Rhinolophus ferrumequinum: one gene and its partners. The protein of the gene in region 1 interacts with the protein of each later gene in a biochemical or structural test. Links are inferred from orthologs where the notes say so. Each region holds a gene or a part of one and is shown on either strand. Other genes may lie near its edges.

Region 1 (7,153 bases):
ACCCTGGGCCCAGTATCTAGACTCTAAATGCATCAGTATCCACTCTGTAAAATTGAGATGATAAATGATTAAGAATAGCTGGAAAAATGTAAACGTATATAAAATTGAGCTACTCATTTGCATGTTTGCTCTCAAATATATTCATTTCCCCTCTTTGTTGTCAGAGGTTAATCCCTGACTGCTGGGTTTCCCAGGCTCCGGTGATCTGGTTTCTACCTGGGTTTAGGCATTGCAAATATTGGAGGAAGATTAACCAGGTCATCCAGATGAAATTGGAGTAGGATTAAATTAGTGATCTTTATTCACCAGGCAAGGAGAGGAGAAAGAGAGAGAGAGAGAGAGAGAGAGAGAGAGAGAGAGAGAGAGAGAGAGAGAGAGAGAGAGAGAGAGAGAGAGAGAGGGCACTCAGAGTTGGGGGAAGGGAAGTGAGGCAAGAAAAAATGTAGAACAATGAAATGCATTATCACACTGGATAATGATTCATGAGTTTCAAAAGGACACAGCCATCAGCCAGTGGGCTTGCTCACGAGAAGAACTGCAGTGAGGAACTTCGCCTTGAAATTGTCCAGAGGAGAGAAAGGAGGGGATTTTATTTGTCCCACTCCTATCTCCCATTTCTCATCGGTCAATGTTCACGTCATGGAAAACTAACTCCCTGTACTTTTTGCTTATGTCATTTGCCTATAATGGCTGTTCAGAAATCTGGATCGCACACCCTGCAGTGTGATGTTTCATCCAAATGTGACAGTATGAGTATGGAGTGGTGTCCCAGCACTGATAGGGTGCTGAGTAAGAGGATGAGAGGGAATCTGAGATGGTGCCAAGATTGGCGTCCAATACATTTCACCCTGTAAGACAAGGATAAAGGAAAATCTTCCCAGTGGACCGTATTTGAAGCAAGTGGTTCTATACTTTGCTTGAGAGAAAAGATGAATTGGTGTACGTTACTTATATACCACCTTCACCGTGTCTAACAGGTTGGCCTGCAGGTCAGGAGCTGAAAAATAAGAAAACAAGATTGAAAGGCTGGTAACAGAGTTATGGGTAGAAGGACACATGGAACTTCCAGGAAAGTATCCAGAGTGTGAAAATGCTTTTGTTCCGTGTGAATACCCACTAGAGAACATACAATGCAGAGAAGGTACCTCTAACCAGATAAATAAGATGATTCACCCCGTCGATGTTGCTGAGCCTCTGCCCCAGTCACCTGTTGCTTGGTCAATGGGTTTATGTACAAGAATCCTTATCCATAGTGGTAAACAGATAAACCTTAGTGAGAGCAAATGCATACTCAGGCAGAGCCTCTATCCCTGCTGCTGTAGGCACTTGGACATAAAAGGCCAACTCTGAGCCAGATTCTTCCCTATTTCTAAGAGAATCAAGACAGTTAGTTACATTGAACGAAGAGCAATTTGTCCTCACAAGTTGGGTAATATTCCAGAGACCAATTCATTTGGCCCCCTAAACCCTCTAAATTGGTTCTGCCAGCACCACCATTTTTAAACTTACACCATCAGGCTATCCCGACAATATCACCTGCAACCAAGGATCTGATTTTACAATCAAAGAATTCTGATAATGGGATTGCCCTGTGGAATGCACTGATCTTACAATGTACACCGTCAGCCAGGAAAAGGTGGACCAATAAAGCTATGGGATGCCTCACTAAAGGCTCAGGGATGGCACCAGTTTGGAAACCCCACCCTGCGAGATTATTAGGTGGTCTCATAAATTCTGGTACATGCTTAAAGTCAGCAACTAATATATGGTGACTTTTTTTTCATATCCTGTATACATACACTCGTCACAGAATCAAGAGGAAAAGTGGAAGTGGCCTCTGTTACCATCAAACTAGTAATTCATTTACGGAAAGTTTTCTTTCCATCCCTCAACATATGGCTCAGCCCTGTTTGGAGGGTCTTGTAAAAACAAGGAGAAACCCTTCCACCAGAGTAAGCAAATCTAGTTCTAAGAAATGGGAATTTGCAACTACTCCTGGCTCTTTGGGGATTCTTAAGCCACTGAAGAAATAGGAAGAGGATGGGGTTTCTATACTGGCTGGAATGAGTTACCTCTATGACCAAGGAGAACTGGGGTTGCTGGTATGTGATAGGGGCAAGAAAGACTATGCCTAAAACCGAAAATACACATTAGAGAGATTCCTAGATATCATTGTCCAACAGCAATGGCCAATGTGTTAAAAACAGGAACATTGAGAACACTGATCTTTCAAGAATGAAGGTATGGGTCACCTCACCAGGAAAGAACACTGAAGTGTTAAAGTACTGGCAGTGAGTGAGGGGACTTGAAATGAGTGGCAACATTATTCATATAGCCAATTGCCAAGATGGGGACTGTTGCGGTTATGCATGTTAAAATATCTGTGTGCATATTATTGAACAATACCAAAGCAACCCTGGATAAATATTGATAGATATTAGGATAAATATTAGGATAAATATTGATATCCTAATTTAATTAATAAATTGAAGCTCAGAGAGGTCGTACATACCTAGTAAACAGCAGGGTTGGTACTGAATCCTGTCCTATAGTGAGACCTCTGCTCTTTTCTACCTCCACCGACAGTAGCTTGCTTAACTCTGTGCCTGCAGGAAACAACAAAGGGGCTGCAGTGGTGTTAAGCCCAGTCCTTTTCTGAGTGCAAGTTCACGTACAGGTCTCTTCTTCCTTGGATTTTTTTTTTCATTCTGTTTTCACATTGCTTGCATTAAGTAAATTATCTTAAAAACAGAACTAGAAATTTCAAAAAAGCATGAAATGTTTTTACATTTCCTAAATCTATAGAAAATACCAAGCAAAGTTCAACTGATGTTTTTACCTTAAGTTATAAAAGAACAAAAAAGAAAAAGAATGTCAGAGTTGAAAGGAATTGAGGATTCTTCTAGCCTTCCTCTTTGCTCCTTCCTCCTCTACAACTATAACAACATCCCTTCCAGCTGTTCCTAAAGCCTCTGCTTGAACTGACAGGGCAGCCTGTTATGTCCCAGCTGTCACTAAAATGAGGATCTTCCCTGGCCCTTTAGTTATCATACAAGTATGCTTACTATGTCACTTCAAACAAGTCACTACACTCCGTTCAGGCTCAGTGTCCTCTTTTGTAATATGAGTTTAACAACCCCTAAATCACTAAAATGTTGTGCAGCTTAAATAATATAACCTGACATAGCAGCACTATTCACAATAGTCGAAAGGTGGAAGTTGTCACTCAAATGTCCATCAACAGATGAATGGATAAACATACAATGGAAATTATTCAACCTTAAAAAGCAAGGAAATCCTGTCACATGCTTCAACATGCACATTACCCTAAGTGAAGTAAGTCACACAAAAGGACAAATACTGTGTGATTTCGCTTATATGAGGTACCTAAAATAGTCAAATTCATAGAGGCAGAAAATAGAATGGTGGTTGCCAGAGGCTGAGTGGGGAATCATTGTTTAACGGGTACAATTTCAGCTTGGCATGATGAAAAAAAGTTCTATGGATGGATAGTAGTGATAATTACACAACAATGTGAATGTATGTAATGCCTCCAAACTATACACCTAAAAATGATTAAGATGGTAAGTTTTATGTCCGGTGTATTTTACAATTTTTAAAATAAAAATAATAGTAACCTGAGAAACTCCCTAGCTCAGTGACAAGAACCCAGTTGGTGTTCAACAACTAACTGTCAATTCCCTTCTTACCACTCACTGGTGTGATATCTGCCTTGGGGTCAAGCACAATAAATCTTTTACACCCTTAAGTTAAAATATTGAATCGCCTGAAAAGGAATTGTTTCTGAAAGCAGGCAGCAGATGGTGGCATGTGAGGGAGAGCTCCAGGCACTCTCCTCTCCATCCAAACCTCCCTAAGAGCTCCCAAACGTAGGCATAGCATGTTGGCATGGGGTGATGACGCTTCCATCTAGTGGATACGATATTTTACTGTATTAGACAATGAGGACATGGGAGGGAGCACGAAGTAAGAACTAAACGCTGCGGAGCTTCCACTCAGTCCCAACCTCCAAGAAGCACTAGACAGAGGTGTCAGCAGCTTCGGATACTGAGACCCTCCACTCCTCCTTCTCTCCTCCCACTTCCTCTTCCCTCTCCTGCCCTCCCCACCCCTTCAGTGTACTCTCCTCCTCTTGCTCCTCCTACTCTCGGGCGTGTGCCTACCTCCCGTTCAGACTTCCCTTTTAGAGGAATCGAAAGTGAAATAAAAAGCCGGCTGCCATCTGCTGAGTCCCTGAAAAGGTGAGTGAACTTGGCTAGACCAAGGTACCCCAGTCCTCCCTGAGAAGCCCCTTCCAACCAGTGCCCACCCCTAGAACCTTCACTCTCAGTTTTACCTTCTCCGCAGCAGGGCTCACTCAGCCCTAACCCAGCAGTTTTTCCCGCGCTGACTCGGCTGCCCTGGGAGGAGGCTGGGCTGTGAACGGGACCAAGTCACCTGGAAGGAGCTCGGGCTGCCCTGTTGCTGGCACTAGAGCTGGGACGAGCGGCCAGGTGAAGCTGGGAGCACCAGGCCAGAAACCTAGGAGGCAGGGTGGGCCAGGAGGGCCCGGTGCAGGGTAGGTCTGCAATCCTTGAGACTCCCATCTCCAAAAGTCTCTTTCTGGAGGAGAGAGGGACAGAGTTGTTTAGGATGTTAGAAGTTTATAGATCTATGCCCTGGAGGAAATGAAGCTGCTAGGGTGGAGTAGCCGAGAGAAGGGCCTGGAGTGCTGAGTGCTAACCACACATTCGTGTCTGTATAAACATATACACATATATACATATACAGATACGTATACATATATGCATATATAGGTGCACCTACAGATATACGTATATACTTACAAGAATAAATATATTCTTCTGTATATATTCATGTTACTATATATAAGGAACTGATGGCCTGAGATGGGAGAAGATGGATGGGAAAAGCCTGGGCACTGAGGGTTTAAGCAGAGATAAATGTGATAAAAGTAGAATTGTGAACAGCTTTATTGCTGAAGTTCCCAACAACTTCACTGTCTTTTGGGGATTCACTTCCCCCTTCTGTGTGACTGGATCAATGGAGCAGACTGGGGGGGAGAAGCTCTTGTCATTCAGCTTAATGTTCTTGTGTTTTAACCCCTACCGGTCACTCTCCCTCATGTTTGCCTTTTAATTTTTTTCGCTTTTCTCACACAACCTTTCTCGTCGTCTTCCTTCCTTTTCTCCTCTCCCCATTATGTCACTGCAAGATCTCCATAGTGCCACTTCATAGAAACATTTCCCCTCATGGCCTCAGCAATGCCCTTGGCAATGATGTGGGAGGAAGTCACATGCCCTGTCTGCCTGGATCCTATGGTGGAGCCTGTGAGCATTGAATGTGGCCACAGCTTCTGCAACGAATGTATCTCTCAGGTTGGGAAAGGTGGAGGCAGTGTCTGTCCTGTGTGCCGGAACAAATTCCTGCTCAGGAACTTCCGGCCAAATCGCCAGCTAGCCAACCTGGTAGACAACCTAAGACAAATCAGCCAGAATGCCAAGGAGGGCACACAGAAGAAGCAATGTAGAGTACATGGAGAGAAACTTCACCTATTCTGCGAGAAAGATGGGACCACCCTTTGCTGGGTGTGTTCCCAGTCCCGGAAACACCGTGACCATCCCATGGTCCCGATTGAGGAGGCTGCTCAGGAATACCAGGTGAGGCCTTGGCACAGAGGCATGAACAGGTAGAAAGGAGAGGGGGCCCTGATGAGTGCTTTGTTCCCCAGAGCTGGGATGGGAGAGAGTCACCCATAGAGTAAAGAGATTAGAGAAAGAATGGGTGTCCCCCACTTTTTATGTCTAAATTAAGGGTCAGCACAGCCTTCTCATTCCCCAGGAGCAGGGGCGACGCTATGGTAAAATGATGCAAGGATCATGATTCCCTGTGGCTTCCTGGTTAGTTAGGAATAAGTAGTGCCCTCACCCCTGCCACCCCAACAATGTGGCTCTGTTTTGTAAGAAACATGAGGCTTTTTCCAAAGTTTTCCTTTCCACAAAATTCCTACCCCAATCAGACTAGTCCTCCCTTCTCTACACACAAGCTTTTCTAAGAACCAGTAAACCTTCCCCCACCTCATGCTACCCCACCCTACTTCTTGATCTGGTCGGACATTAACCTGCTATCTTTCTGTGCAGGAGAAGCTCCAGGTGGCATTAGGGAAACTGAGACAAGAACAAGAGTCGGTTGAGAAGTTGGAAGTGGATATTGCTACAAAGAGAACAGACTGGAAGGCAAGAGTCATATCCCAAAGGGAATCTTAGATCAGAAGCCTAGGCAGGGTCCAGGGTCCTGGCCTCAAGAAAGCCCTGACCATAGCTGTGCCTGTCTGAGGAGTGATAGAGTGTGTGTATCTCACTCTTCAAAAACCAACAGTCCTCTAGGTCTCCTGATAGAGGGGCATAAAGAGTATGAAGCTCAAAGAGAACTCCCAATCAGACACAAAGATCAAGTCTTAGGAGAAGGTACTGAGGGACAAGCCATACCCTAAATCTCCTCTTCCTTGAGCCCAGTCTTAGGGGATGACCACACCACGGTGTCTGGGACAGGTATTCCAGGAGAGATGACCAGTGGCTAGGCCTGTTAGGAAATGACAAGGGCTGTGATGAACAGACGTAAGGGAACCACCAAGGCCTGAGGTAGGAAAACCAGTCTGACCAGGTGATTGCTTAACCATGTCCAGATCACTGGTTCAAACAGAACGGAGAACTAAAGCTTGTCCTGCACTGGTGATTTGGAGGTGGGGTGGGTCAGGGCCAGAGGAGTGGAAGGAACTCATGACCAGTAGAACCCAGAAGAGGAAGATTTGGGACCGGGGAAGTGTACCAGCCTGTGGTGGCAAAAAGGGTCATCCTGTGTTATCCGGTGACTCTTCAATCACTAACACAAAAGGGCAAGCAAAGAATATCACAAAGACGTTCTTTCCCCAGGACTTAAGAATGGTGTTATCTTTGTGAGCTTGTTGGGATGGGGACAGGTGTTACTGTCTTAGTAATTCTCCAAGATAGGAAGACAAAAGGACATACGTGGGTGCTGACTGGGTTTTGAAAGAGGTTGAAAGTCTCTGGTAACATGGGCCAATGCAGCAGTGGTTGTAGGGCAGCTACAATGCACCCTCCCCCACCAATCC
Region 2 (6,989 bases), on another chromosome or scaffold:
CCAGGTCTTGCCTGCCTGTCTTCCACCTCCTTCCATCAGTTTGTTGGGCAATAACAAATTGTCATCCTCTGTAAACACCAATTACATGGTTAACGCTCCCTCTGCCTGGAAAGCCTCTTCTCCCCTTTCTCCTCTGCTCAGGCCTTGGCTCTTCCAGGAAGCCATCTTCAGGTCCTAGGCAAGACCACGTGACCCTCCCTTATGATCCCCTCATGGCCAGTCAGTAGCTTTTGTATCAAAATCCTGATTGTAAGCAATGTGAACATGGGGACTGTATGTTACTCATCTTTATATCCCCAGTGCCTGCCATTTAATATATGCTTTTTGGTCAAAATTGCCACTTTTCCTTTTTTTTTATATTTTGTCAAATTATGAATATTCACCAATTAGATATATTTGGGGGCATCAGATATTCTGGGTGAAATGTAAAATCCACCTTGCCTGTTAAGTTTCATAGTTTAAAATGAATCGATTTGATTAGAGTTACTTTTATTTTCACACCTCATTCATATGGGTCATTAAGAAATGGAATTGGAAGGACAGGATTGTGTACTAGTTAAATAATTCAATCTGTAGAGTCATGGAGTTCGAGTTCCCAAGGTAGAATTCTGATTCTGCTGTTCATAAGGTGGGTGTCTGGCAAATTCCCCGGCCTCTCGAAGCCTGTTTCCTTCCCTAGAATGTGGGAATCGGTTTATGTACCTCATAGTTCTGTTTTAAAGATTAAATAATACAGGAAATACAAGTGCCTCTTATGGTGGCACATGCAAATATTCAATCCAAGACAGCTGTTATCATTATTGCCCTTACTAAGGGCAGGTCTGGGAGGATGCCCCATGTGGGTGAGGACACTGGATGGGGTGGGGAGAGGCAGCATCCCGACCTTGCAAGTTTATCAATGGCAGGCTCAGTTCAGAGCAGAGTGTCTGCCCAGACTCTTCTGTGCTCACAGTGATGGGAAATTTGGGGATCTTGGTATGGGTATTTCTCAGTCACTGCCATATACCCCACTTCTCATCTCTAGCCAACATCACATCTGCCCACAGAAGAAAGAACAGAGTCATCTGGAAGATAAAGTAGGTACCGCGTCTCATCTACGTGGTGCTGTGCACTTCATGAAGTTCCTTTACACATGGTCTCATCAAGACTCCTCCCCAATCCATATGCTGGCATTTTTATCTCCATTTTACAGATGACAAAACTAAGGCCCAGAGAAGTTTAAATGACCAACTCCAGGTCACAGAACTGAGAAGTAGCAGAGTTATGATTCAAATCTAGGCCTTTTGATTGCAAGTCTAGTGCCTTTTTAACACATGGGTCCTTCAGGTTACTATGACTGTTTGGTTTCCCATATATCTTCCAGTTTTCTGCCAGAAAATGCAGCTGCTTTTAATCCTCTATCACAGGCTGTGCCTTTCCTTGAAAGGGAAAACTTCAGGCACATACACAGCTTGGGTCTATCCTGGTTTTTTTTTTTTTTTTTCTTCCAGGGAGGCAGAGGTGGGGGTAGTTTCTGAGATAAGAGAGAATCACCTCCTCTAACCTGGTGGCCATTTCTAATTGCTGTGTAAATTTAAAAATGAATATCATTATCCAATCTAACAAAATAATAATTATTCCTTTGTATCATCTAATATCCATTTTATATTTAAATTTCTTCCAGTTATCTCAGAAATATCTTTTTACAGTTGGTTTGTTTGAACCAGGATCCAAACAAGGTTAACATTTGTTTAATATGTCCCTTAAATATCTTTTATTGCAATTTATGCTATTAAAAAGAATCTTTAAAGGTATGGGAAGTTTTAACTTTACTGTTGCTGAACTGTTTACAAAGTGATTGTACCAATTTCTTTCCTACAGAGTTTATGAAAGCTCCACTTCCTCTCCCACTTTTGGGATTGTCAGACATTTTACCTTTTGCCTATCTGATAGTAAGCCCCACTCTAAAGAAATGAGATGTGAGCCTAGTCTTCAAACATTGTGTAATCAAGTGTTTTAGATATAAAAATTTCATGCCCTTTGGCTATAATTACATGTCCCAACCCCATCTGAAGGTCACTATTTTATCCCGAGTACATTGGGACTTTCTATTATATATTACTGAAAGAATGAAGAAGATAGTGAAGTAATTATGTACTATTTAATATTTCCTAGGAAAGATAAGCCTGGTACTGACTTTCCCCTCTATTACGATCCTTTTTAACACACAGAAAATTCAAGGGACCAGATGTTGATTTCACTGTGAGGACTGTCAAGATTCCTGTAACCCCTTATTAGTCTTTGTAATGGCAGGTTGTTGGTTCTGATGATGTCATAATGCTTTGCGGGGTCACCTGATGTCACTTACACCTTAGGGAGAATTAGCTTTTAAACAGTGAACCTTAGATGGTAAAATCTGATCTTCTGGAGCCATTTTCTGACATCATAGGAATAAAAAAATCTCCAGAAGAAAATAAATCTGGAAAAGTTTTCCTCTTTCGTTGGAATATATGGGTTTTACTCACAGTTGAAATGTTGCCAACACACTGGGCTAACACCTGATGTGCTTCGGGGTGATTCTTGGTTGCCAAGAGCCTCCAAACATTCCTTAAGAACACAGTCGTTTCGCACAACAAAGGGAAAGCCAGCCCATTTCTGGCAATGAGGGTGGAAGTCTGAGAGAAAAAAGTAAACCAATATAACTTCCTCTGTACTGATGAAGAATAGTGTGTTTATTATTATAACATAGAATAATTGGTGTATTTTAAGATCTTTTTCCTTTTTGAACACACTTTACGTTAGGGAATTTCAAAGAACATAATCTAGCTTAAGAGTGGAAAGGATGATAGCCTACACTGCTCTTATATTTAAATATTAACTTCTAGAAATTTCTAAAAGATCTCCGAATTAATGAAAGATTTGAAGCTTTCATTCTGGTAAAGTAAAAGTTTTCTATGTGTCAGCTACCTTAATTTTTTAGAGCTAGAACACGAGATGCAAGCCTTCGGCTACCATTTTCCTCTTGTAAACCAACATCCTGAATTCTGTAATAGCTTTTTTAAAACGTGGCTTCTGATAAATGTTGGCAGAACTGGTGCATTCCCAGAATAAATTCCGTATGTTGAGCTTTCCCTACTCAGATACATCCCTAGGTCGAATGACCACAAAACTGCCCACCATGAGACAGATTGAAGTTTGGATGTGATAGAAGATATGTGTATATTATAACGTGACGGTGGTACTAAAAAAAGAAATTCATGTCTAGGGGCAAATGTCTCATCAAATGCCAATGCTGTGACAACCGTAACTATTACTGCTACACACGTGAATTTTAAATGGAGGGGATGGAGTGAAGGGGCGGAAATCGCACACAGACGAAAAAACTTCAAAATTTTCCCTTCCCTTTTGGGCAAGTTACAGCGCTACAAATCTACCCTTGTCTTTAAAGCAAAATGCTGTTCTGCTCTCAATTCTCATCCCATTGTACAAGGAAATCTGTGTCTCTCTTCCCCGAATAGGAATATGAGAAGCCCTTCAGATTCGAAAAGTCAAAAAAGCCCCGCGGAAAGTTTTGTCTTGCCCCAAGGGTCTGAAAGTGGGCGCCGTAGTGTGGAAAAAACATACATCCGAAAGGGAAAATCTGTAAACCATACACCTGTGGTTGGAAAAACAAAACAGAACAAAACAAAACAAAACAAAAAAACTCACAGTCCGGACATCATCAAGATCTCGAGACACAGACAGACAAATAAAAACAACTGTGGCCAGGTCAGAACGGGACCCGCGTTTCCCAAGCGATCCGCATGGCGGGTGGGCTCACAGCCGGCGCCAGGGAGCGGGATGAAACGGGTGACACGGACAGCGCGGGTCACGGCGCCCCGCCCGCCCCTCCCCGCGGGGGCCCAGCGCGCCAGCCAATCCCGCTTACGCCACGCCCATCCCTCGGAGGCCCCGCCTCCCGCGCCCGGGATGCTGGGCCCCCACGGCGTGACGTAAGCACGGCAGCTCCGCCCCCTGCGTCTCTGGCCTCGCCAGCCCTCGGGGGGGATGGTTCCATCATGGCGTCAATGCAGGTGAGAGGAGTTTGCAGCATCTGGGCGGGCGAGGGAGCCGCGGAGAGGATGGGAGCGTTCCGTCGGGGGCGGCATCTGGGACTCGAGGGCACCCCGGCGGGCTCGGGAGCGGCCCTGGGGGCGAGTCCTTCCCCAGCCTTAGGGCGTTGGGGAGGGGTGAGAAGCGGCGAGAAGAAGGACGTGGGGGGGGGGGGCGGTATCGGTTGGCCGAAGCGGACACCAGCCGGCCGGGAAGTTGGGGGATAAAGAAGGCGAAGGGAAGGGAAGGGCAAAGTTTGACGTTGGCTCGGCGGCAGTAGTCTGGGAGCCGTGTCCCGCTCGGACAGACGGCCGCTGCAGGCCTGCCCGCCGGACCCAGGGATGCCTTTTCCTCCGCCGTCCCCGGCCTGGCGGAAACAGCTGCTCTCGCCGTTGTCGCGCAGGGAAGGGCGGCCCTGAGAGGGGCTGAGTGTGGGGGAGCTGAAAACGCGTTCCGGGAAAAGACGGCTGGATGCAAGGGCTCTCGGCGGCCTCTCCTGAGGCCTCCCACGCCGGCCTCTCTCACTGCGCGGCCCCCGGCTCTCTTCCCTTTGACTCTTAATCCTTTGCCACTTGGGTACCTTCCTCTGCCAGCCTCCTCACTCTCAACGAACAGCAGCCCACTTTCTCACTCTCCCCGAAGCTGCCCTTCGCCCGTCGACATCATCGCCTCCTAATATGCAATGTCCCGGAGAGCCGAGTCACCGACCCCCTTAGAGCTCCCGGGATAGAGAGCTCGCCCTCAATTTTTTTTTTCCCCCTAGGGTGCCCCACCCATGCAGTCGCGGTCCGACTACAGCCCTTTGCCCTTCTTCCCCTGATCTCTAGTGGAACCTTAGTTTGGTAGAAGGTGTTTGTTAACTCGTGTCATAGCTACCTGGCTTGGCAATGCATGGTTTTCTGGCTTTCCAACTTAATGTAACCCTTTTTTTCAAATTCGAGGAGTTGGTTTTTTTTTTTTCTGGCAAAGATGGCAACCACAAGTGCAGTGTTTTAGAGATTGACTCCGCATTATCTATGGCCTGCATTTGATTTACAGATGAAGACTACCTGTATCAAAAGACATAGGAAGAGAAGGCAGAACTCCCGTCTGGAGTGTCAGCCGAGCGCTTTTTAGAGTTTTTCTCGAAAGGATTTTGTGCTTTTGTTTTTAGAAGAATAAGCAAGCCTCCCTATACACCCCTCCGTTTTTGTTTTTTTTTCCCTCCTTTCTAAGCATAACAGTGGTTTTCTTTTATCTCTTTTATTGCATCATCTTCCTCTTATGCACGTATTTGCTTCACATTTACTTACGTGCTTTTGGGTTATCCCCTTTCAACCTGTTTGCCACACGGTATTCTTTTGACTTTTGCTTCTCCCTCTGGACTTTCCTGGAGAATTGGAAAAAAATGTATATAACATTCCTCGTTGAAAAGATGTCAGCGAAATGGTGCAGGGAAAAAACAAGAACAATTTCAGGAAACATACTTTACACTAATCTCCCCAGAGACGTTAGAGAAGTTTCGTCATTTGAGACCAAAAAAGGAACTGTGAAATACTCGTTGAACAGTAGATGGGCTATACGACCAATTTAAGATTATTTGTGTTAAGAGTAAAACTGTTTTAAGACTAAAAATTAAGCTTACTATTCATAATATTTGTGATTATATTTCACAAGAAAATAATAGGGATAACTTATTAGCTAGTTAGATTTAGGCTTCCAGTCTGGAAAAGGCAGATTTCAGTTTTTAAGAGAAAAATGAGTCAGTATGGAACTTAATGTTGATAATCTTGAATTTTATGTGACGACTTAAACAATGGGGAAAAATACTTGCCAGTGTAATACTGCATTTTTCTGTGCCCCAAGTACTACCTTTGTCTTATCGCCTTTTATTTCTTTGTGTCTTCTGATGAGAGGAATGGAAAACTGGTGTTCCCTGGTGTTTTAATTCAAGTAAAACTGAGTCTTTTATTTGTATTTTAAAAACATCTCGTACAGATTTTCTGGTAGTATCTTGAAAACTATTTTAATATAGATAAATCCAGCTTTTTGAAACACAGCACTCCTTCCAATGTGGTTCTTCTGTCTTTGGTGAACACATTTTTTTTCCTGACCATCTTAATAGCAAAGTTGAACTTTTTTCCCGAAATAACTGTTACACATAAAATTGCAGCCAAATTATGACATTTGTTCATTCGCTCATCAGTTATTTTTTGAGGGCCCACTCTGTCAGATACTCATCGAATTGCTGGCGATGGAGAAGTGAACAAAAGCAGAAAAGATTTCTGCCCTTGTGGATGTTAACAGTCTAGTTGGGGAAGTCAGAGAAGAACAAAATATTTAAGTTAATTGTGTCCTGTGTTAGAAGGTGATAGTGCTGTGGGAAAAAAGTGTGGAAGGAGGTTAGGAAATGGATATTTTGGGGTTTCAGTTAGAGTGCTTGGGAAAAGATGTGCCATACATGAATGCGTCTCTGACCCTGCCTTTATCTAAAAAGTTTTCAGATTTCTTACACCAGGATATTACTGCTGCTGAAGAGGTTACTTAAGCTCTACCAGGAACTGTATTTTAAAAACATGCATGTTATACAAATGTAACATAGGATTTGACTACTTGAGTTGATAAAAATGAAATAAATTAGTCTTTAAGATCAATAACATCAATTAAGGATAGACTTTGAATTTCTCGTTCAAAAAATATTTATACTCGGAGAGTATATATTTTACAGCTGAGGTTATACCTGCTTTAGTGTACCCTATCCGTGCCTCCCAACCTTTTTTCCGGTTGTGGTACACGGGGAAAATAATTTTTGACTGGCATGCTGAGGTGGGTGGGGTTGTGGAGGTTGGAAGCATCTGGCTAGACAGTGAGAGTGGTTGGAGACGGTCAGTGTCCCAGCACACCTGTAATGCTGAGAAACTGCTCTAGAACATTGCTGG
Region 3 (6,913 bases), on another chromosome or scaffold:
ACACTGATGGTAATAGAATTAGGAGAAAAAGAAGACACTGGCCACACCTGGGCCTAGGGTGCCACGCCCCCCTCCCTGCCCAGTCAGACAGTGGCCATAGACAGTGGCATAACCAGAATGGAATGTATCCAACTGCACGAGTCTCCAAGGTAGGAAAGGTGATCCCACTTCCTCTCTATGAGATTCTTTCAGGTTTTTGCCTCTGTCACCTTCCCCAATAACCTAACCCTTATATAACAGAGGTTATAATGTTACCGGTCAGACCTTTAGTTCTTCTAAAATATACTAGAGATTTTCAACTTTTCCACAGTCCCCTGGGCAGGTTAAGGAAGCACAGGCAAGAAGGAAACAAAAATACTTCCCTCCTCTAATCAAAAGGTGCCCACCTCTAATCAAAAGGTGCCCAATATTTGTGTCACCTCTAACCAAAAGGTGCCCACTCACTGCCACATGTGCTCTGTAATTGCTGGCTAAGTGTGGACCAGGGGTGACTTTGGAGGGCCAATGCCAGTTAGGTATAGAGCAAGCCACAGTACCAGCCCACACGAGAACTTTATGATTTGGCACCAAATAAAGCTTCAAGTTCACATGCCCAGACATTACAAACCCTCAAGTAGATCACCACAGTCCAACATCAAGCAGTTCATGACCAATCAGCCAAGCCTCTCCCCTCTAGCTCTCTTCCTGCTTTCCTCCTGGTTCTTGTGGCCCAAGTTCCCATGGCAACAGGTGGGTTGTTTAGTTCTGGGGTCTGGTTGTGGGGCCAAATGAGTGCCCTACTAGGCCTACACCTCTACACCTCTCCCAAGCAAATGGCCTAAAGGGGAATATAGCCCTGGGGCCAGGGTGTCTCCTGGCCTGAATCACACTTCCTTTTTTTTTTTTTAAAGATTTTATTGGGGAAGGGGAACAGGACTTTATCAGTGTGTACTTTCAGGACTTTTTTTACAAGTCAAGTTGTTGTCCTTTCAATCTTAGTTGTGGAGGGCGCAGCTCAGCTCCAGGTCCAGTTGCTGTTGCTAGTTGCAGGGGGCACAGCCCACCATCCATTGCGGGAGTCGAACCGGCAACCTTGTGGTTGAGAGGACGCGCTCCAACCAACTGAGCCAAACTGACAGCCTTCGGAGTTATAGGAGCATGGAGCTCCAACCGCCTGAGCCACCGGGCCAGCCCCAACTCACTTCCTTCTTAATCCACAGGTCACTCCCACAATAGGTGGAACAAATGGCAGATGCTCATTGTTCTCAGTTTTTAACGTTTTAATCAAACTAACAAAAGTTTTAAACATTGGAAATAATGATCTTCTGACTATGATGTTTCACTTTGTTCCTCACATTTTAACTACTGGCACTTTGCAGTCTTAAATTTTAGGAAATACCCATAATTAGTGTACTATTTTTATTGCTATTTAATAGCACTGAAGAAATCCAGGTTTAAAAAGATTTTCCAAAGTTTTCATTTTTATAATTAGGTTTTGTCCTTCTTTCTAGTCGTGCTGAGGACTCGTCCTACTTCCTTAAGACTGTGACCCATGCCATAAATGGTACAGGGGAAACTGCTAAAAAAAGAAGAGGGAAGCAGACACTCTCTAAAGTAGGTTCTGAAGTAATGTCACTAACCCAACTTTCTTTTTCCATAAATAACAGGACTAAAGGTAGTGTTTCTTGTTTGTTAACATTTTAACAATTTCAAATAACTTTCAAAAAAGGGCACTCGGGTTGTCAGGCCTGGCTCCCCAGCTGTTGAATTATCACCAGTGGTAACTTTTTTTTTTTTTTTTTAATTTATTTTTAATTTATTGGGGTGACAATTGTTAGTAGAATTACATAGATTTCAGTTGTGCAATTCTGTATCACATCATCCATAAATCACACTGTGTGTTCACCACCCAGAGTCACCAGTGGTAACTCTTATCTGCAGGGGATTAATTGCTATGTGATTATTGAAGGCAATTTTAATTCCAAATTTACTTTCCCCTGCTATCTACCCAATTACCAAGAGGCCTGTGTTACCAGATGGTGTGTGATGGATGTCCCAGGGAGTATAAATTAATTTCAATTAGCCGTAACCCAACATAGAAATAGTAAATCTGTTCAGATGACCAACCATTTTCACCAGGCCAGCTCTCCCTCTTCCATCACATGGCTCATCTGAGTCTCCTCTCCTCTCTCATAACCCCCTCTTCAGGGCAAGGTCCCTAGTAGGTCTTTGGGCTGCACCACTGTGTGTGTGTAAAGCACCCTAAGCCATTTGGTCTCTGCTCCAAAACCTCTTACAGTAACTGTGGACCATGCAAGGCAGGACATGTAGATCTAGAAAGCTTTAGATCTCAGTCTCTTTCAGTAGTCTGTGCCCAGCTCAACTGGCCTAATCCTCACTATTTGATCCTACCCTGCTTTTTCCAGAAATTCTCTCTGACCTCTCTAGTCTCCCCTCCTGTAACACACACCATCATTTCTATGCTTTCTTCAAGACCTCACTCAAATGCTACTCAAGTCAAAGGCTCCCTTTCAGAGCTCAGGGTCTACAGTCTGGTTCATACCTGTTAATGGCATTTACCACACTCTGCTTGGTGCAGGGGTATTTGTAGATTTCTTCTCTATTAGATTGTACACAGGCAGGTATTGAGTCTTATTTTTTTCTCTGAGGATAGAAACTGAGAGACAAGTGAATGGAGAGTCATGTAGACCAACTGTCTGGCTTTCTCCTTGTTCTGGGCTTCCGTCCCCTCCAGGGAGAGGGCTGTTTTTGTGCACAGGGTTGAGTGGAAAAGATACAGTATTCAGGATATTGTACTTGTTGCAGCAACAAATTAATAAGCCTGGGCACCTAAGGTGGAGAACACACCCAGACCTCTCCCCTTCCCACCTTGCTATCACCCCTCTGTGGCTGTTTGTCCCTCTGGCAAGGCAAGTAGCTCAGCGTGGAGCGCTTGTGGAATTCTGCCGTGGGCCAGGTGATTCTGGCATCCAGACTATTTGAAACGATTGTTAATGATCAGACCACACCTTCCAGTATATGCGATGGTGCACCGGGCACATCTGATATCCTCCGGGACAGTAATCCCCATCTTATTTCTGGGCAGCTAAGGACGCGCTCAAGCCTTCTGCTGAAAGTGGAATGGCAGGAGTGAACACAAGAAAATCCAGTTCCAAGGCTTCCAGTCTCTAGCAGTGCATTTAAGACCAGGATAACCCCGCAAGCCTCCAGGGAGCTTCCGGATAGAATCTGAAACTGGCCCTAACACAGAAGACTTGGAGAGCGGAAGAGGGAGGCCACTCCAGATTGGTAGGTGGCAGGTTTAATAAGCAGGGTAACTTACATAGGGCTTGTCTTGGGCGCGCAAAAGTAGAGCTACTTGACCACCAGAATCTTAAAGTTTGTACAGAGGCCTTAACTACTCAGTCACGAAGACCTTCCAGAAGTTCTCGGCACCACATTACTATCTCAAAACTGCGTCCTTGGGCAGTTTCTAGCACCTGGAGCCAAGCAGAACGCTCACTCCAAGGACAGGGGAAGGGGGAGAGGAGCCTCCGATTGCCCGAGTCGAGCTCGCGGGTCAACCGGTCATCACGTCCTTTCAATGACTTCCTCCATCAGAGGAGAGGGGTCGTGGGTCCTGCATTCTGACTCCTTGAGACCGCGGGGCTGTACAGAGAAAGGAGTGCCCGACACCCCTCGGAGCGGGAGGAAGTGGCCGCTCCTTCCCCGGCGCCCGCCTGCTCTTCCGGCCCCCTCCCTGCTTTGCTTCACGGCGCACCCGTGGGAGAGGGCGGTGGGTGGGGGCGGGAGAGAACGCACAGGCGGGCCGCGCTCAAGGCCGCTGCGCCAGGTGGGGCTTTGGGCGCGCGCACGTACGTGCGTGCGTGAGTGGGCGTGGCCCACACACGCTGTGCGCGAGGCGGATGTCCGGACCGGCTGAGCCTGGGCTGCGGACGAGATGGCGGAAGGTGGAGGCTGCGGTGAACGACCGGATGCTGAGACCCAGAAATCGGAGCTAGGGGCTTTGATGAGGACCACGCTCCAACGGGGGGCGCAGTGGTGAGCGCCCGGCCCACCTTTCCGCCGCGCAGGGCCAGGGGCCGGGGCTCTGGCGCTCAGGCCGGCCCCTTTTTCTCGGCTTGGGTAGGGGCCGGGCGGGGGCGATGTAGTGACTCTGAGAAGAGTGGCCTGACCTCGGCCCCTTAGGAAAGGGACCCTGAGGTCACTTCTGGGAAAGCGTGGGCGGAGTTGAGAGTCGTCTCAGCCCTTTCGGAACCCCAGTGGGCGGACCCGGCGGGGGAAAGAGCTGCAGGATAGGGACTGGAGTGCTCACCGGGACCTTCAGGATGGGGAGAGCCCTTTGCCTTCGGGCATTCGATGTGTGACCTTGGGCAAAGGCGTCCACACCTCATAGACCCCAGTTCCTTACTCTTAAAACCGTGGTAGCAGTATTTGACACTACATACTCCCCTTCAGTGGGTTGAGGCGTATCAGAAGTAGACACTTTGTAACTTGTAAACAGCAGAACAGATGTCAAGGTCAGAAGCTGAACAAATGTTTGAGAGCCCCAGGTTATTTTGGTAGCAAATGTCAAAAATAATTGTGGCAGCAGCATTTCATAGCCTAGGTAAAAAAAAAGATGAAAAGACTGGGCTTTAGAAGATCAAGTCTGAGACAAGAAGTTTCATAATAAATTGTTTAGTGAAAGGGACAGTACTTCCACTGGTAAAGAGATTCCTGGGTGGTATTATTGTGTGGGTGTAGAAAACTGGACCTTGGCTTTATTACAAAGAATGATTGAGCTTCCCTCTTTAAGAAACCATGGTGGTGTTGATAATGCCACTTACAGTGCCAGGAATGAGCAGGGAAGAGAGACATTGGGATTAGGAGGAACTCATATAAGACTTTACACTGTTCTTGAGCGAGCCAAGCTGTGACAGGCAGGGCACGCAGGGGCAGAGGACACTTGAGAGACTAAAATCACACTCTTAGCGTGTTTAGAGGGTATTGTTCAAGGGGTTTGGAGGGAAAAGAGCATTTAGAGATTTGGATTTATGGATCCTTGTGACCCCTGAGAAGCTGCCTATCTCTGAGGTTTGTTGGTTATAAAATTTGAAAGACTCACCAATATAATTGTGCTTTGTTTCCCCAATGGAGGTTTTCCCCTCCTTCTGTCTTAATTGTAAAACAGCATAGTAATACTTAAAAAATACAACCAGATCAACTTGCTTTTTGACAATATAATTGTACTTACACATTACATGTGTATGTATGTACATGTGTGTATACATGTATGTCTGTATGTACACATATATACATATGTACACACATTTTTTTGACATTTTGTTTGGTCCTCAAAGGAATGCTGAAGTGTGTGATGTTATTATCCCATTTTCAGAAAGAAAATTAGTTTAATGTTATTCATGTCAAGCAAAGCAGTGTAACCAAATTGTCTACCTGGAGAAGGACCTCTGTAAAGATCATTATGACATTAGTGACTTGGTCCTTAGCAAACAAGATTTTCACAGTAGAAAGACTTGCTTTAAATAAATATTTTGAAGCCAGTCATTTCCTTCCTTTCATTTATTCATTTTTCAATAATCGTTTCACTTACTGGATACTTTCAGAAGTATCCATTGGCTCTTTGTGCCATATGGGGCTGGCCCTGCTTCTGTCTTGAGAATGTTTTTTAGTGGGGATTGCTTGTTCCCTAAGTGGAAAGACCATAAAGAAATTAGGGGAGCAGCTGCAGAAACTTACTATCTCAGCTTTTCTGGTACAGTAAATTTTTGTCTATCTCTAGGTATCTTATTGACAGCCGGTGGTTCAAACAGTGGAAGAAGTATGTGGGCTTCGACAGCTGGGATATGTACAATGTGGGTGAACACAACCTGTTTCCTGGCCCAATAGATAACTCCGGACTCTTTTCAGGTGCAGTATTCTGTTCCTTTTCTATCCGAAATGTCAACCATGGTAGTGGCCTCAGGTCATAATTATGTGTAACATGGACATTGTGAACTTGACTTTCCTCCTGTGAGGGGACGGAAACAAGTGTCCTTGACTTATGTCTGTAGCAGAAGTCTTTGTAGAGTCTTGGAGAAGTGAACCTGCCTTTTTCCTAAACTAACTTCTAACAAGAGCATGCTTGTAACATTTTAAATTTCTTTCTCTCTCTCTCTCCTTTTGCAAATTCTGCCAGAGATTTTAGATTAGTATATGGGATGGAAAGAAATAGGATATTTTGAAATTGATCTGGAATCTGAAATTTGGGAACCAGAATTTTCTTGGTTACCTTTGCAGTGGGACAAATTGTAGATCTGTCGATATTCTTCAGACATTTCTGTGATGGCTGTGTTTGTCATAGAAATAGTACGAGGAAAGATAGAGGGTCAGTAGAGTTATCACAATCAGCTCCCAGTGGAAGAAGTGATTGAAAAAGTGATGCATGACACACTTGAGCTTAGCTTGCACCTGTAGATGCACAGAGATGACAGTCAGCCTTTCCTAGTCTGTTCTGCCTGGCTTTAGACTCCCTTGCAAGCAGGACAGAGGTGATCTGTCTTCTGTGACCAAAATCAGGGCAGCAGGACGGCAGATAATGCATGAAGCTTGATCCAAGTACCTAACACTAACCTGCGTGCTTTTAAAAATGAGTAGTACTTCAGCTCAGACTTCGTTTTTGGGGAGTCTAAATGACGCAATCAACAGTCATATGCTATGTTTCCTGAAGTAGGTCAGATGGTGGCATTATGCCATGAAGTTGCCTCAAGGGATCATTGCAAAACGTTTGCTCTTTGTCCTCTCTTTGGAAAAGAGAAATCTTAAGGCTTTTAATAGTAATAGTGATGAGAATCCTAGAGCTTGAGGGGCCCTCGAAAGTCATTTTGTATGACCTTCAGCTAAGGGTAAGCATTCCTCCCATGGTCCCCCA

What was found.
Region 2: the proteins of TRIM21 (region 1) and UBE2W are reported together in a solved structure, tested with the Homo sapiens proteins (2 studies listed by BioGRID, with this or other methods). The link is inferred for Rhinolophus ferrumequinum from reciprocal best matches to the Homo sapiens genes TRIM21 and UBE2W.
Region 3: of the proteins of TRIM21 (region 1) and USP4, one has a biochemical effect on the other in vitro, tested with the Homo sapiens proteins (2 studies listed by BioGRID). The link is inferred for Rhinolophus ferrumequinum from reciprocal best matches to the Homo sapiens genes TRIM21 and USP4.

Annotation. Positions count from the first base shown.
Region 1 is NC_046294.1:47,069,087-47,076,239, forward strand, and holds the start of TRIM21 (E3 ubiquitin-protein ligase TRIM21), read left to right. Parts: upstream 1-4,139; 5' UTR 4,140-4,262; intron 4,263-4,368; 5' UTR 4,369-4,514; exon of another isoform or gene 4,515-4,579; intron 4,580-5,236; 5' UTR 5,237-5,273; coding exon 5,274-5,681; intron 5,682-6,161; coding exon 6,162-6,257; intron 6,258-7,153. UniProt on the Homo sapiens protein: E3 ubiquitin-protein ligase whose activity is dependent on E2 enzymes, UBE2D1, UBE2D2, UBE2E1 and UBE2E2.
Region 2 is NC_046297.1:8,840,925-8,847,913, forward strand, and holds the start of UBE2W (ubiquitin-conjugating enzyme E2 W), read left to right. Parts: upstream 1-3,958; 5' UTR 3,959-4,037; coding exon 4,038-4,052; intron 4,053-6,989. UniProt on the Homo sapiens protein: Accepts ubiquitin from the E1 complex and catalyzes its covalent attachment to other proteins.
Region 3 is NC_046300.1:7,022,066-7,028,978, forward strand, and holds the start of USP4 (ubiquitin carboxyl-terminal hydrolase 4), read left to right. Parts: upstream 1-3,882; 5' UTR 3,883-3,940; coding exon 3,941-4,041; intron 4,042-5,785; coding exon 5,786-5,913; intron 5,914-6,913.